Kluyveromyces lactis: one gene and its partners. The protein of the gene in region 1 purifies or fractionates together with the protein of each later gene. This does not show direct contact. Links are inferred from orthologs where the notes say so. Each region holds a gene or a part of one and is shown in the gene's direction. Other genes may lie near its edges.

What was found.
Region 2: the proteins of CWC21 (region 1) and PRP46 purify together in Saccharomyces cerevisiae (affinity purification with mass spectrometry, with the first as the bait; 3 studies listed by BioGRID). This does not show direct contact. The link is inferred for Kluyveromyces lactis from reciprocal best matches to the Saccharomyces cerevisiae genes CWC21 and PRP46.
Region 3: the proteins of CWC21 (region 1) and CEF1 purify together in Saccharomyces cerevisiae (affinity purification with mass spectrometry; 4 studies listed by BioGRID, with this or other methods). This does not show direct contact. The link is inferred for Kluyveromyces lactis from reciprocal best matches to the Saccharomyces cerevisiae genes CWC21 and CEF1.
Region 4: the proteins of CWC21 (region 1) and PRP8 purify together in Saccharomyces cerevisiae (affinity purification with mass spectrometry; 3 studies listed by BioGRID, with this or other methods). This does not show direct contact. The link is inferred for Kluyveromyces lactis from reciprocal best matches to the Saccharomyces cerevisiae genes CWC21 and PRP8.

The regions. Positions count from the first base shown.
Region 1 is NC_006038.1:878,805-881,130, forward strand, and holds CWC21 (U2-type spliceosomal complex subunit CWC21), read left to right. Parts: upstream 1-1,370; coding exon 1,371-1,826; downstream 1,827-2,326. Other genes in the region: OAZ1 (Oaz1p), read left to right, coding at 665-1,243; KLLA0_B10076g (uncharacterized protein), read right to left, coding at 2,273-2,326. UniProt on the Saccharomyces cerevisiae protein: Involved in pre-mRNA splicing. May function at or prior to the first catalytic step of splicing at the catalytic center of the spliceosome, together with ISY1. May do so by stabilizing the catalytic center or the position of the RNA substrate.
Region 2 is NC_006042.1:1,034,208-1,037,299, reverse strand, and holds PRP46 (mRNA splicing protein PRP46), read left to right. Parts: upstream 1-1,287; coding exon 1,288-2,592; downstream 2,593-3,092. Other genes in the region: pseudouridine synthase PUS7, read right to left, coding at 1-1,026; NuA4 histone acetyltransferase complex catalytic subunit ESA1, read left to right, coding at 2,957-3,092. UniProt on the Saccharomyces cerevisiae protein: Involved in pre-mRNA splicing. May also be required for cell cycle progression at G2/M.
Region 3 is NC_006039.1:634,851-638,174, reverse strand, and holds CEF1 (Cef1p), read left to right. Parts: upstream 1-1,192; coding exon 1,193-2,824; downstream 2,825-3,324. Other genes in the region: EFR3 (Efr3p), read right to left, coding at 1-546; CAF20 (Caf20p), read left to right, coding at 3,037-3,324. UniProt on the Saccharomyces cerevisiae protein: Involved in pre-mRNA splicing and cell cycle control.
Region 4 is NC_006037.1:471,930-476,229, forward strand, and holds part of PRP8 (U4/U6-U5 snRNP complex subunit PRP8), read left to right. Parts: coding exon 1-4,300. UniProt on the Saccharomyces cerevisiae protein: Functions as a scaffold that mediates the ordered assembly of spliceosomal proteins and snRNAs. Required for association of BRR2 with the spliceosomal U5 snRNP, and the subsequent assembly of the U4/U6-U5 tri-snRNP complex.

The DNA.
Region 1 (2,326 bases):
TTAATAGAAACATCTAGCAGGGCACATCCAAATTCGAACACTTCTTTCAGGTCTCTTTGCCCTCAGAAAAGACGTGCAGGATTTTGGTCATTTTGTTTACCGGCATTTCTAGCGGCAGGAACCCCGGAGCTAGCTCATCACATGACTTGCGGTGTGTGAATGGTTACCCGGGTTTATCCGTGCATTACCCTCCTTCATCTTAACCCTCACAATTGAAAATCACAATTCAAACACCGTCCATGTGATATGCAAAGGTGTATCATATAAGTGCGTTATGTAATGGTAAATAAAGGAATGACTATGACTAGCTCATACCAGCTTATCGGTTTGTTAAACAATATTTCACCTGGTTGGTTATCAAAACGCTGTTCCCGACTCCTTCAGTCAGTTATATCATAAATTTTGCCCGCATCACTCTCCAAAATGAGTAGAGTAATACATAGAAACGAGCTATACAAGAGACAACAGAGGATAGAAAGCTATGTATCGGGTTTACTAGATGAGTTTTCCCCCTTGGCTATCGACTTCCCACTTATTGACTTGACGAAAAATAAAAGACACGATAACATAGACGTACTACCTTCTTCCACAACGACAGATAATAATTCGGATGAATTTCTAATATCACCAAATTTTTACCAGTTTAAGAACAGAGAATGGTCAGATGTTACTCTTCGGCTGGCGTAGCACCGGATTGTGTAAATTTCAGTTGGAACAGTATTGGGATATCTTATTTCTATTCGAATCCAAGTTTTACCAGTTTAAACCGCAAGATTATAAACTTTGGACGACGTATCTTGTGAAAAATGTCAGTAAACTCTTGAAACAATTGGTGCGTGGGAGATCAATGGATTCGAAGGTTTATGATATTGGTTCTAACTATTTTACTATCTTGGACCCAACTTTCCAGCTGTTCGGTAAAATCCTTCTATCATCCGATCTGGGGAAAATTGCATCGATTTATCTACACCATGTCTCCACATCTGCGTACTCACAGGACCTTCGGCAACTCATACTCAAAATATGGGAATTCTTAGACCACGATAATTTTCAATGCGATCTAATGGTATTCTACATTGCCAATACAATCGAAAACCATGATTTGATTACGAATTTATTACGGAACCTAGCATGGCTAAACGGATCCTTGATGAAACCTATTGGTACGCGCACACTGGATTCTACGTTTAGTTCCATCAGTTGGTCAGATGATAAGTATGTCATACTTCAGTTTCAAGTTTGAAAGTGGATGTCTTCACTCTACTGTCCCTCTGTCTAGTAACGATATGTATGCGTGTATTTAAGTATTCCAGAGTTAAACACCCATACATCACATTATTAATAATAGCTATATCAGTTTTAACGAATTGATGAAATGGAATGAGTTAAGCTACACGCTGCAGTATCACTGTCACTTCAAACCATTACACTCTTGGCTGCTGAAGGGAATATACCAACCCAGCTGCTCGTGTCTCTATATAATAATGTCATATAACGGCATCGGTTTATCTAGTGCCAAGGGAAGCAGCACCTCCGGTTACGTTCAACAATCGTTAGCATTTACGAACAGGAAAAAGGACCCTAGATTAACTACACATGATAAAGAACAACAGCAACAGCAACAGCAGCAACAAATACAACCTGCTAAAGATGAAAGCGTAATATCCCACAAAGCGAAAAGGCAGATCGAATTATTAGTTTCTGAGTATCGTGATAAACTAGAGGATGGACCGGATGATTTGTCTGATGACACCATAGACAGTAAATGTGAAGACTATCGCAGGTCTATACTAGAAGGAAACGAGCAGTCAAGAAGTCAGAATTGATTAATAATTTCGCTTGGTGTATCATAGCTATATTACATTTTAGTACTAGTACACGATTGTTAAACATGAACTATAAAACTTAGAACTAATAAAATAATATACAAAACTGCAACTTTCTGGCTCAAAGGTAAAAGTGTAATTTAACAAGATAGTCAACGTTCTGCCCCAATATAATCTTGTCGGGGCTTTTATTGATGCATAATAAAAGAAGTAAGATAATATGTTTCTCCCCTGATGAAGTGAATGTCCGTACAATTATCTTAACACTGAAAGAGAAAGGAAGGTTTAAATGGAAGAAAAGTAAAACGGTGTTTTAAAAGATGCCATGAACTGAGAAATAATTTGAATTTTTAGAGTCTTTTCATTGTTTTAACAGGCAATCGATTTATATGATATGCCCTTCGTATAATTTTAGATTTTATTTTGTCGTGTAAATTTTCATTCATTCATTCATTTCTACACCAGATAGTCAAATTTTTGAATTGTTCCAAACCTTTGTC
Region 2 (3,092 bases), on another chromosome or scaffold:
GAAATAATTGATGAACCCATTTTGTTCCAAGGATTTCATGCCATTGGCTAGGATATCATCCAAATCATCGCCTTCATTCTTCAATGAAACATCTCTGATAGCAATAGTGAATTCGTTTCCCTGTAGATCTCCCAAGTTCAATGGCTCATCTTCGAATTTGTAGCCACCTAGAACGACACCCTTCAAGCCCTTGTTTAGTCCGTTTAATCTGTCCAAACCAATTTTGGATAAAGACATTCTTTGACAAGTGACAGCCCTACGATCCTTTGTTCCAGAAAATCTGATCAACCTTGTTGGAATTCTCATGAATTTTGATAAAGTATTAGCGACATCCATAGTATCTTTGTTTTCCTTATAGACAGTAAAATGAATAAACGATTTTGATGGACCATAACCCCAGTTTTCGACACCGTTTGCATCCTTAGTTTGTTCGATCAATTCTTCTTTGCTAACACGTGTTTGGCGAGAAGCCATTCCAACAATGAAATGGTTTGAATCCGTCGTTACAGATTCTAACTTGTTGTCGAAAGCTCTACGTAGCAGTTGATGTATTTTAGTCCTTTCAAGTTTATCATCGAATGCCTTCGATGTTTCAATCTTTTTATTTGAGCGGTACACAGCTTCAATTTTTTGAACATCCTCTTCTCCCAAAAGTTCAACAAGTTCATTTCTAATTCCTTCATCCACCTTAAATCCTTGGCGTTTCTCAAGTTCTTCTTTTTGCGATTGCTCGATTTGTTCTCTCGTTGGCTTTGGCTTCTTTGGCATATTAAAACCTTTGTCAGTCAAATGCACAACTTCGCCTTGCTTGGTGATTTCATTGACTAAAAAGTCAGTGTACCTTTGTTTGATCTGACCATTGAAACCAACATTATCCATTGATAAGTAATGCGTGATACCAACATCCTTTTCAGTGATGTTGTTATTGTTTATACCTTCATTTATACCTTCACCAACTTTTGTCCTCTTAATATCTTCTTGCTGGGCAGCAGCTTCGGACTCTCTTTTCAAAGATTGGTCTGACATTATACCAATACTATACTTTAACACGAGAGTACTAATACCTGGTACTTGTTATAAGCAATTAAGAAGCGCAGCTTCCAGATTTGAACAACTGACTTCTGCTTCAATGTGATGAGATGAGATGAGATGAGCTCGAAATTTTTCAAGAAACGAAAAGAACCGTTTTGTATGATGGATATTATGAAAAGTTAACGAAGTGACATATACAAAGATGAAAGAGAGTTACACGACTTAATCGAACTGATAGACAACTAATAAGTACCAATGAATACATCCAGCCGTAGCTCTGAACCTTCGAAGGTAGCAGATGATGTTTACGTTCAAACTCGGTGGAATAATGAATTTAAACATGCTGATTATTTACCTGAGTCGTTACAGAAGTGCCTGGATCAAGAAAAGACTGTTTTAGAAAGGTACAGTGAATTAGTTGAGGTGTCGAAAACTGTTGCAAACGAAAGCTCTCAAGCATTAGTCAAACATACCACAAAACCAGGCGACCAACTAGTACGAAGAGTGTTCCAACAGCCACATCAGCAGATTTCATTGATGGAACGTTATGAAAAGACTCGAAGTTATAAACCGCAATGGCATGCACCATGGAAACTCAGTAAGGTAATAAATGGTCATACTGGATGGGTAAGATGTGTATGCGTGGACCCCGTTGACAATGAATGGTTTGCTACTGGTAGCAACGATACAACCATTAAAATCTGGGATTTAGCTGCGGGAAAGTTGAAAATTACTCTAATCGGGCATGTAATGAGTGTTCGAGATATTGCTATCTCAAAGAGACATCCTTATATGTTCTCAGCAAGCGAAGATAAACTTGTAAAATGTTGGGATCTAGAAAGAAATACTGCAATTAGGGATTTTCACGGTCATTTATCTGGCGTGCATACCGTTGATGTTCATCCGAGCCTTGATATAATAGCTACTGCTGGTCGTGATGCTGTAGTAAGGTTGTGGGATATACGATCAAGATCTGAGATAATGGTTCTGCCCGGTCATAAAAGCCCTATAAATAAAGTCAAATGCCTTCCCGTTGACCCACAAATAATCAGTTGTTCCGGGGATGCAACAGTTAGACTTTGGGATATCATTGCAGGGAAGGCAAGCAAAGTTTTAACGCACCATAGTAGAAACATCAGAGACTTGACGCTACACCCAGCAGAGTTTAGCTTTGCCAGTGTATCTACGAACGACGTCAGATCCTGGAAATTGCCCGAAGGACAGCTATTAACCAACTTTCAATCCCAGAACACTGGGATTTTGAATACCGTATCAATTAATCACGATAATGTACTATTAGCTGGTGGAGATGACGGTACTTTGTGCTTTTACGATTACAAAACAGGACACAAATACCAAAGTATGATGACAACTGAAGTTGCTGGCTCACTTGAAAGTGAGCGATCGATTTTATGCAGCACCTTTGATGTCACAGGAACAAGACTCATCACAGGGGAAGGAGACAAAAGCATCAAAATATGGAAGCAAGTCCCTGATGCTACAGAAGATACATTCCCTGGCTTGCCGTGGAATCCCACGTTAATATCTCAAAGATTCTAATCTAGCTGGTGTCTACTTGCAGCGACTTATGTAGAAGTTTGTAGTTTAACTCTATTAGGTCCCCGTTTTCCATCTATCTAGAATATTTCAGTCTGCATTAATTGCGAGGTTTGCTCTAACTGTCATATGATTACAGTCACGTAGTCAAGGACAGGGAACGTCAGGTTTTCTTGTATGTTTGTTCAAGCATGGTGTTTGCTTTAATACGGTAATCTGAATAAATTAACTGAAATTTAGCATCTTCAAAATATTTGAACTTATTAGTTACGCAATAAACCAAATCCAAAAACAGAGCACCTCTGTAAGAGGAACTAGTAAGGCAAGGCAACTGTTTAACAAATATTTTGGGCGAGCTCGCTAATACATGAGTCACGGCGAAGAAAAGGAACCTGGGATTCCCCAGAAGGTTGACAGCATCGATGAGATTTTCGTTGGATGCAAGTCATGGGTACTAAAAGATGGTCAAGATCGTCTTGCTGAAATTCTATCCATTAACAGCA
Region 3 (3,324 bases), on another chromosome or scaffold:
TTGGTGAATGCTTCCCAAGTTTGAGATCTTTGAAAAGTCTAAGCAACCTTTCAAAACCAAATCTGTGTCATTAAGTTTAGTGTTAGCAACTTTGAAGTACAGGGTTACGAAGTTTTTGAACAATTCTAAAAACTCAGAGTCCCCACTTACAAGAGACCCATCCAAATGGTTACAAATAGCTTCTAAAACTCTTTCAATCAAACCAACAATAGTTGGATCATTGTTAAAATTGTTGTTGTTCAACACTAAAGTCATAATGTGGATGAAATCTTTGATGAAAATATTCATGTTTTCATTACAATTCTCGACGATTTTAGCCAGTAGCTCTAGAGTGACAGAGACATTACCGGAACGTCTTCTGTTCAAATCCGTTGTCGACCTCTTCACAAGGTAACTGCTGACCTTTTCCAATTTTGGACGTCTCGAATTAACATAATATAACAAGTACGAAGTCTCTGACCCTTTTGGCTTCTTATCGGGAGTTCGGCCTGGTGGATAACACTGATTCACCAATTTCTGGTGCTTAGGGGTGAAGAGAAAGCCCATTGACACGGATCGTTGGAGTCTTTTGGATGGGTTTTATCGTCGAACCATCAATAGTGTTGGCGATTTCAATATAGTATGCAATTTCTAAGTTTAAAAAATGTCTTCGAACAAAAAACCCTTTTCCAGTTTTTATTGCGTAATAGAGAGCCAATCATTATATAAACAAGGGAACTAGAAAAACTATAGCTGAAAAAGAACATAATAATGTTAATGATGATCATTATTTAATAAGAGAAGAACAACATATACTTTCTCATTATCTGTCATGTGTTTTCTGAAAGAATTTCAGAGTTTGTTGTATTCTAATAAAATATAGGTAGTTTAAAGACCGAAGTACTGACTGGAGGAAGTCACAAAAGAAACCAGTATCCAGCATTGCTGAAATAATACGAAAAAGGTACCTATGCTCTTGCGAGTAAAGCAATATGTAAACTATGTGTTCGGATACAGTTCCCTCTTTATTCGCTGACATTGTTTTATTTCTTTATAACACTGTGTAAATCTAGATAATCCAATTTTGGGATTGGATTGAAAATAAAATTGACATATACTTGGTGGAAACATAGGAAACTAATTAATAATAGTATCAGCTAAAGCTGTAACGTTGGTTCAAAGGGAAGTTAATCAAAGGCGGTAACCACGTACGATGGCTCCTGTTCCGATTTATGTCAAAGGTGGTATTTGGACGAACCTTGAGGATCAAATATTAAAGGCGGCTGTTCAAAAATATGGAACACATGCATGGAGTAAAGTAGCTTCGCTTCTACAGAAGAAGAATGCCAGGCAATGTCAATCTCGTTGGAATGAATTTTTGAATCCCAGTCTAAACTTCAAACCATTCAGCCAGCAGGAAGATGATAAACTACTAGATTTAGCGAAAAGAATTCCAAACCAATGGAAAAGCATCGGAGAAATGATGGGTAGACCTGCTCAAACATGTATCGACAGATATAATATCCTCCTGGCGATTGATAAGGATGATTTAGAGCTTGCAGCAACTACAGGGGTACAGATCGGTGAGATCAACCCAAATAACGAAAGCTTACCAGCCAAGGCTGATAAAGATGAGCTACTTGACGAGGAGAGAGAAATGTTGGCGGAAGCTCGTGCCAGGCTATTAAACACTCAGGGTAAAAAGGCTACTCGTAAGATAAGAGAACGTATGCTAGAAGAAAGTAAGCGTGTTGCATTCTTACAGAAGCGTAGAGAGTTGAAACAAGCGGGCGTTGATAGTAAAATCAAAGCTCCCAGGAAGAAATATTCTTCGCAGATGGATTACAACGAGGATATTGCGTATGAACAGCAACCACTACCGGGTATATACGATACCTCAAAGGAGGATGAACAGACTGAGAAGCTACTCAAGAGTTTTGAGAAATTGGTAGAAAGGAAAGGTTTACTTGACAGGAAATCTGATGAAAAGAAAACCATACCACAAAAGAGAAGGCAAGGCGAACAAATAACGTCATCAGTAACAAAATTAGATTCTGTACTAACTGATGAGTACAAGAAACCTAAACTTGAGCTTACTCCTGCTACTTTAAAAGGATCAAAACGGAAGATAAACAAAACAACATCTATACTTCATTTATTTGAATCATTGCCTTCTCCTAAGAACGATTTTGAAATTGTATTGGATGATTTAGATGAAGAAATGGAATCCACTGATGCTTTTAATACTGAAAGTTCGTATGTTAATGGTAAATATCCCCTAGAAGCCTTAATATCTTCCACGGAACATCAATCGGAAAACAAGGCAATGGAAATAATGGAATACATACCGACAGTATTCCAAATAAAAACAGAATTACAGGTACCCAGTCCGATAGTAGATCCAAAGAATGAAATTGACCGTGAATTGAATCGTATAATCTCAGCAAAGGAGAATGGTAACCCCATTTACAATTCCACGGAAGTAAACAATTACTTAGAAGAGATCATTAATTCTGCATCCACCACCGAAGTGCCCAGCACTGTCTTACATCCCAAGTTGGAAACTAGCTTAAAAACTATAACACCGGCTACGGAGCACGAACTGCTCGGCATGGAACGAAAAGTGCATGAACTGCGAACAGCGCTTGAGGATTCCGTCAAGTCTCACAGAGAGGCTGTTTCACAACTTTCACAAGATTTTGAAGAAAAACTACATCCGACAGTGTCAGGCTTAGCATACCAATACTACACTGACTACATGAAGTACAGGAACGACCATAAGACTATGCAAGAAGAGACACAATCTCTTGCGGAACAGATCAAACTTGCCCAGCGTAGTCAATGATTACCCGGACCCTTCTTTTTGAGTCTTCCTTCCATAATCATGAAATTTTCAAATTATGAACTTAAAGATGAAAAGATTTACGAAATTGCAAACTTTAAGAACAATATGAGACAGTTAGCAATTGCTCTGTGTGGACATAACAATTCTCCCCTTTATTTCTACTGGAACTCTTTCGAAGCCATCACAAAGCAAATACTAATTCCCGGGCCACGATGATCAGGTACACAGAAGAAGAACTTTTACAATTAAGACCAACCGAACCAGTTAAACCAAACTTCGACGTTGATGAATTCAACGCTATAATTGAAAAAGTGAAAGAAATCCAAGAAGCACATGAAGAAGAATTTTCTCACTTCAGAAGAAGATCTTCTCACCACCATGCTAAACCAAAATTCAAGCATTTGAAACCAAAAATTACTACCGATGAGGAAGGATGGTCTACACTAGAAACTGCTCCAGCGGTCAGAAGAAAGTCTGTGGCTGAAGAAGAAGAACCAACC
Region 4 (4,300 bases), on another chromosome or scaffold:
AACGTGAAGAGTTAGCTTTAATTGAAGAGGCATATGACAATCCTCATGATACCTTGAATAGAATTAAAAAACTATTGCTAACCCAAAGATTATTCAAGCCAATACAACTAACAATGATGGATCATTATCAACACATATCTCCAGTCTATAACGTTGATCCGTTGGAGAAAATTACCGATGCATATCTTGACCAGTATCTATGGTATGAAGCTGACAGAAGGCAGCTTTTCCCTAGTTGGATAAAGCCAGGTGACTCAGAAATCCCGCCACTTCTTGTTTACAAATGGTGTCAAGGCATTAACAACTTAGATTCTGTATGGGACATCAGCAAAGGGCAATCGACCGTATTGTTGCAAACTGATTTACAAGAATTCGTTGAAAAGATGGATTTGACACTAATAAACAGGCTCCTAAGGTTAATTATCGATCCGACATTAGCGGATTACATTACTGCAAAGAATAATGTCAGTTTGATCTTTAAGGATATGAATCATGTTAACAAATATGGTCTAATAAGGGGATTACAATTTGCACCATTTGTTTATCAATTTTATGGTTTAATGATTGATATTCTCATCTTGGGACATGAAAGGGCACAGGAACTAGCAGGCCCTCCAAACGAACCATCTGAATTCTTGCAATTTCCAGATAAAGCTACTGAAACGAAGAGCCCAATTCGCCTCTACTCACGCTATCTTGACAAAATCCATATTTTATTCCACTTTGAAGAATCTGAGTCTGATGAGCTTATCCAAGACTATTTGATGGAAAACCCCGATCCAAATTTTGAAAATTCTGTTGGTTATAACAACAAGAAATGCTGGCCTAGAGACGCCCGCATGAGGTTAATCAGACACGATGTTAATCTAGGTCGTGCTGTTTTCTGGGAACTTACATCTAGGGTACCAAAATCACTTGTTAACATAACGTGGGAGAATACTCTTTCTTCAGTTTATAGCAAGAATAATCCTAATTTACTTTTCACTATGTGCGGTTTTGAGGTGAGAATACTACCGAAATCTCGGATGGAAGATGTCATTTCTCATGATGAGGGTGTATGGGATTTGGTGTTGGACTCCACAAAAGAACGGACTGCCAAAGCGTTTTTACAGGTATCACAAGAAGCTATTGATGAGTTTAGAGGTCGTATTCAAAGTATTTTGATGGGTTCCGGCTCCACAACTTTTACAAAAATTGTGGGCAAATGGAATACTGCACTAATCGCTTTGTTTACCTATTTTAGAGAATCTATCGTCACGACAGAACCGTTACTCGACTTACTCGTGAAATCTGAGACTAGAGTTCAAAATAGAGTAAAACTCGGCTTAAATTCTAAAATGCCAACAAGGTTCCCTCCAGCAGTGTTTTATACACCTAAAGAGTTAGGTGGTTTGGGAATGCTCAGCGCATCGCACATTTTAATTCCCGCTTCTGACTTGAGGTGGTCAAAACACACAGATACTGGAATAACACATTTCAGGGCAGGGATGTCCCACGAAGATGAGAAGATGATACCAACAATTTTCCGATACATTACTACCTGGGAGAACGAATTTTTGGACTCACAGAGAGTATGGGCGGATTATGCTGCTAAAAGACAAGAAGCCATAAAACAAAATCGTAGGTTGGCATTTGAAGAATTAGAGGGTTCTTGGGATAGAGGTATACCGCGGATCAGTACCATATTCCAAAAAGATAGGCATACGCTAGCCTATGATAAGGGTCACAGGATTAGGCGACAATTCAAAGAGTATTCAGTGGAACGTAGTAATGCTTTCTGGTGGACAAATAATCGTCATGATGGTAAATTATGGAACTTGAATGCCTATCGTACGGATGTCATTCAGGCCTTAGGGGGTATCGAAACAATTCTTGAGCACACATTATTTAAAGGAACTGGCTTTAAATCATGGGAAGGACTTTTCTGGGAGAAAGCCTCTGGTTTTGAAGATTCAATGCAGTTCAAGAAACTTACTCATGCACAAAGAACTGGTTTGAGTCAGATCCCTAATCGTAGGTTTACGTTATGGTGGTCTCCGACGATTAATAGAGCGAACGTCTACGTTGGGTTTTTGGTGCAATTGGATTTAACAGGAATATTCTTGCACGGTAAAATTCCAACATTGAAGATATCTTTAATTCAAATTTTCCGAGCACATCTATGGCAAAAAATCCACGAAAGTGTGGTTTTCGACATCTGTCAAATTCTGGACGGCCAAATGGATATACTACAGATTGAATCTGTTCAAAAAGAATCAATTCATCCACGTAAGTCGTATAAGATGAATTCGTCTGCTGCTGACATCACATTGAACAGTATTTACAAATGGAAGGTTAGCAGACCAACATTGTTGCATCAGACGAAAGATTCTTTCGACGCTACCACAACTGACAAAATGTGGATCGATGTGCAGCTTAGATATGGTGACTATGATTCTCATGATATATCAAGATATGTCCGTGCGAAATTTTTAGATTACACCACAGATAACGTGAGCTTGTACCCGTCTCCTACTGGTATTATGATCGGTATTGACTTGGCCTATAATATTTACGACTCCTATGGAACGTGGTTTGAGGGATTGAAGCCCTTGATACACAACGGTATGAAAACAATAATGAAAGCTAATCCAGCACTTTACGTTTTGAGGGAGCGTATCAGGAAAGGTCTTCAGATATATCAATCTCAAGTTCAAGAGCCATTTTTGAACTCATCCAACTACGCAGAGCTATTTTCCAATGACACAAAATTCTTTATCGATGATACGAATGTTTACCGGGTCACTGTTCATAGAACTTATGAAGGCAATGTGGCTACTAAGCCTATCAACGGATGCGTGTTTACTTTAAATCCGAAAACAGGTGAACTATATTTGAAAATAATTCACACTTCGGTGTGGGCGGGGCAGAGCAGATTGGCTCAATTGGCAAAATGGAAAACCGCAGAAGAAGTAAGTGCATTGGTTAGATCGTTACCCAAAGAAGAACAACCTAAACAAATTATAGTTACTAGAAAAGCTATGATGGACCCTATGGAAGTACACATGTTAGATTTCCCAAACATTTCGATTCGTCCAACTGAGCTCAGATTACCTTTTTCTTCTGTTTTGAACATAGAAAAATTAAATGATGTTGTTTTAAGCGCTACAGAACCGCAGATGGTTTTGTTCAACATTTATGATGACTGGCTAACTCGAGTTTCTGCCTACACTGCTTTCTCTAGATTGATATTGCTATTAAGAGCGCTCAAAACCAATGAAGAAAAAGCCAAAATGATTCTATTAGAGGATCCTACAATCCCAACGAGAGCTAATCATCTATGGCCTTCTTTTACTGATGATCAGTGGATTGAAATTGAGACGAAGATGCGTGATCTAATTCTCTTAGAGTATGGTCAAAAATACAATGTAAACATTGCTTCTTTGACTCAAACTGAAATCAAGAATTTGATTTTAGGACAGAACATTAGAGCTCCATCTGTTCAGAGGCAGAAGATGGCAGAATTGGAGGCTGCAAGAAATCAGAAAACTGATGAGTCGTCGCAGTCTGCCACGGCAGCCATGAAGCTAAAAACAATCAATGCTCAAGGTGAAGAAATTACAGTGGTGTCATCCAGCAATTATGAGTCCCAATCTTTCAGTTCGAAAAATGCTTGGCGGTCAAATGCAATCTCCAATTCATTGCTACATTTGAAGCTTAAGAACATATATGTTACTGCCGAAGATTTTGTAGAAGATAAAGATGTCCTCGTATTCCCACGGAACTTGTTGAAGAAGTTTGTCACAATAGCTGATGTCGATGTCCAAATTGCAGGGTATATGTACGGGTCACCTGTAAAAGATCACCCTAATGTGAAGGAAATTAAGACGATAGCACTTGTCCCTCAACTCGGCAGTTCCGCAACTGTTCGCATATCTCCTCCCCCCTCATCTTCCAAATATCTCAACGACATGGAACTGTTGGGATGGATACATACCCAAAAAGTCGATTCCAAATTCATGTCACCATCTGAAGTGATCACTCATTCCAAAATGTTTTCAGATCATAACGAAAGTGCTGTTGATTTGTGCATAAATCTAATCCCAGGTGCCGTATCAATTACAGGATATACGTTAAGCACTACGGGTTTCAACTGGGGCTTACAATCGAAAGACATAACGGACCCTTCACCAGAAGGGTTTGAAGCTTCATTTAGCGAGACTGCACAGATTTTATTATCTGAACGCATTATGGGCAATTTCTTGGTACCTTCGTCATCGATATGGAATTACGCTTTCATGGGAACTGCTTTTAGCGAAGA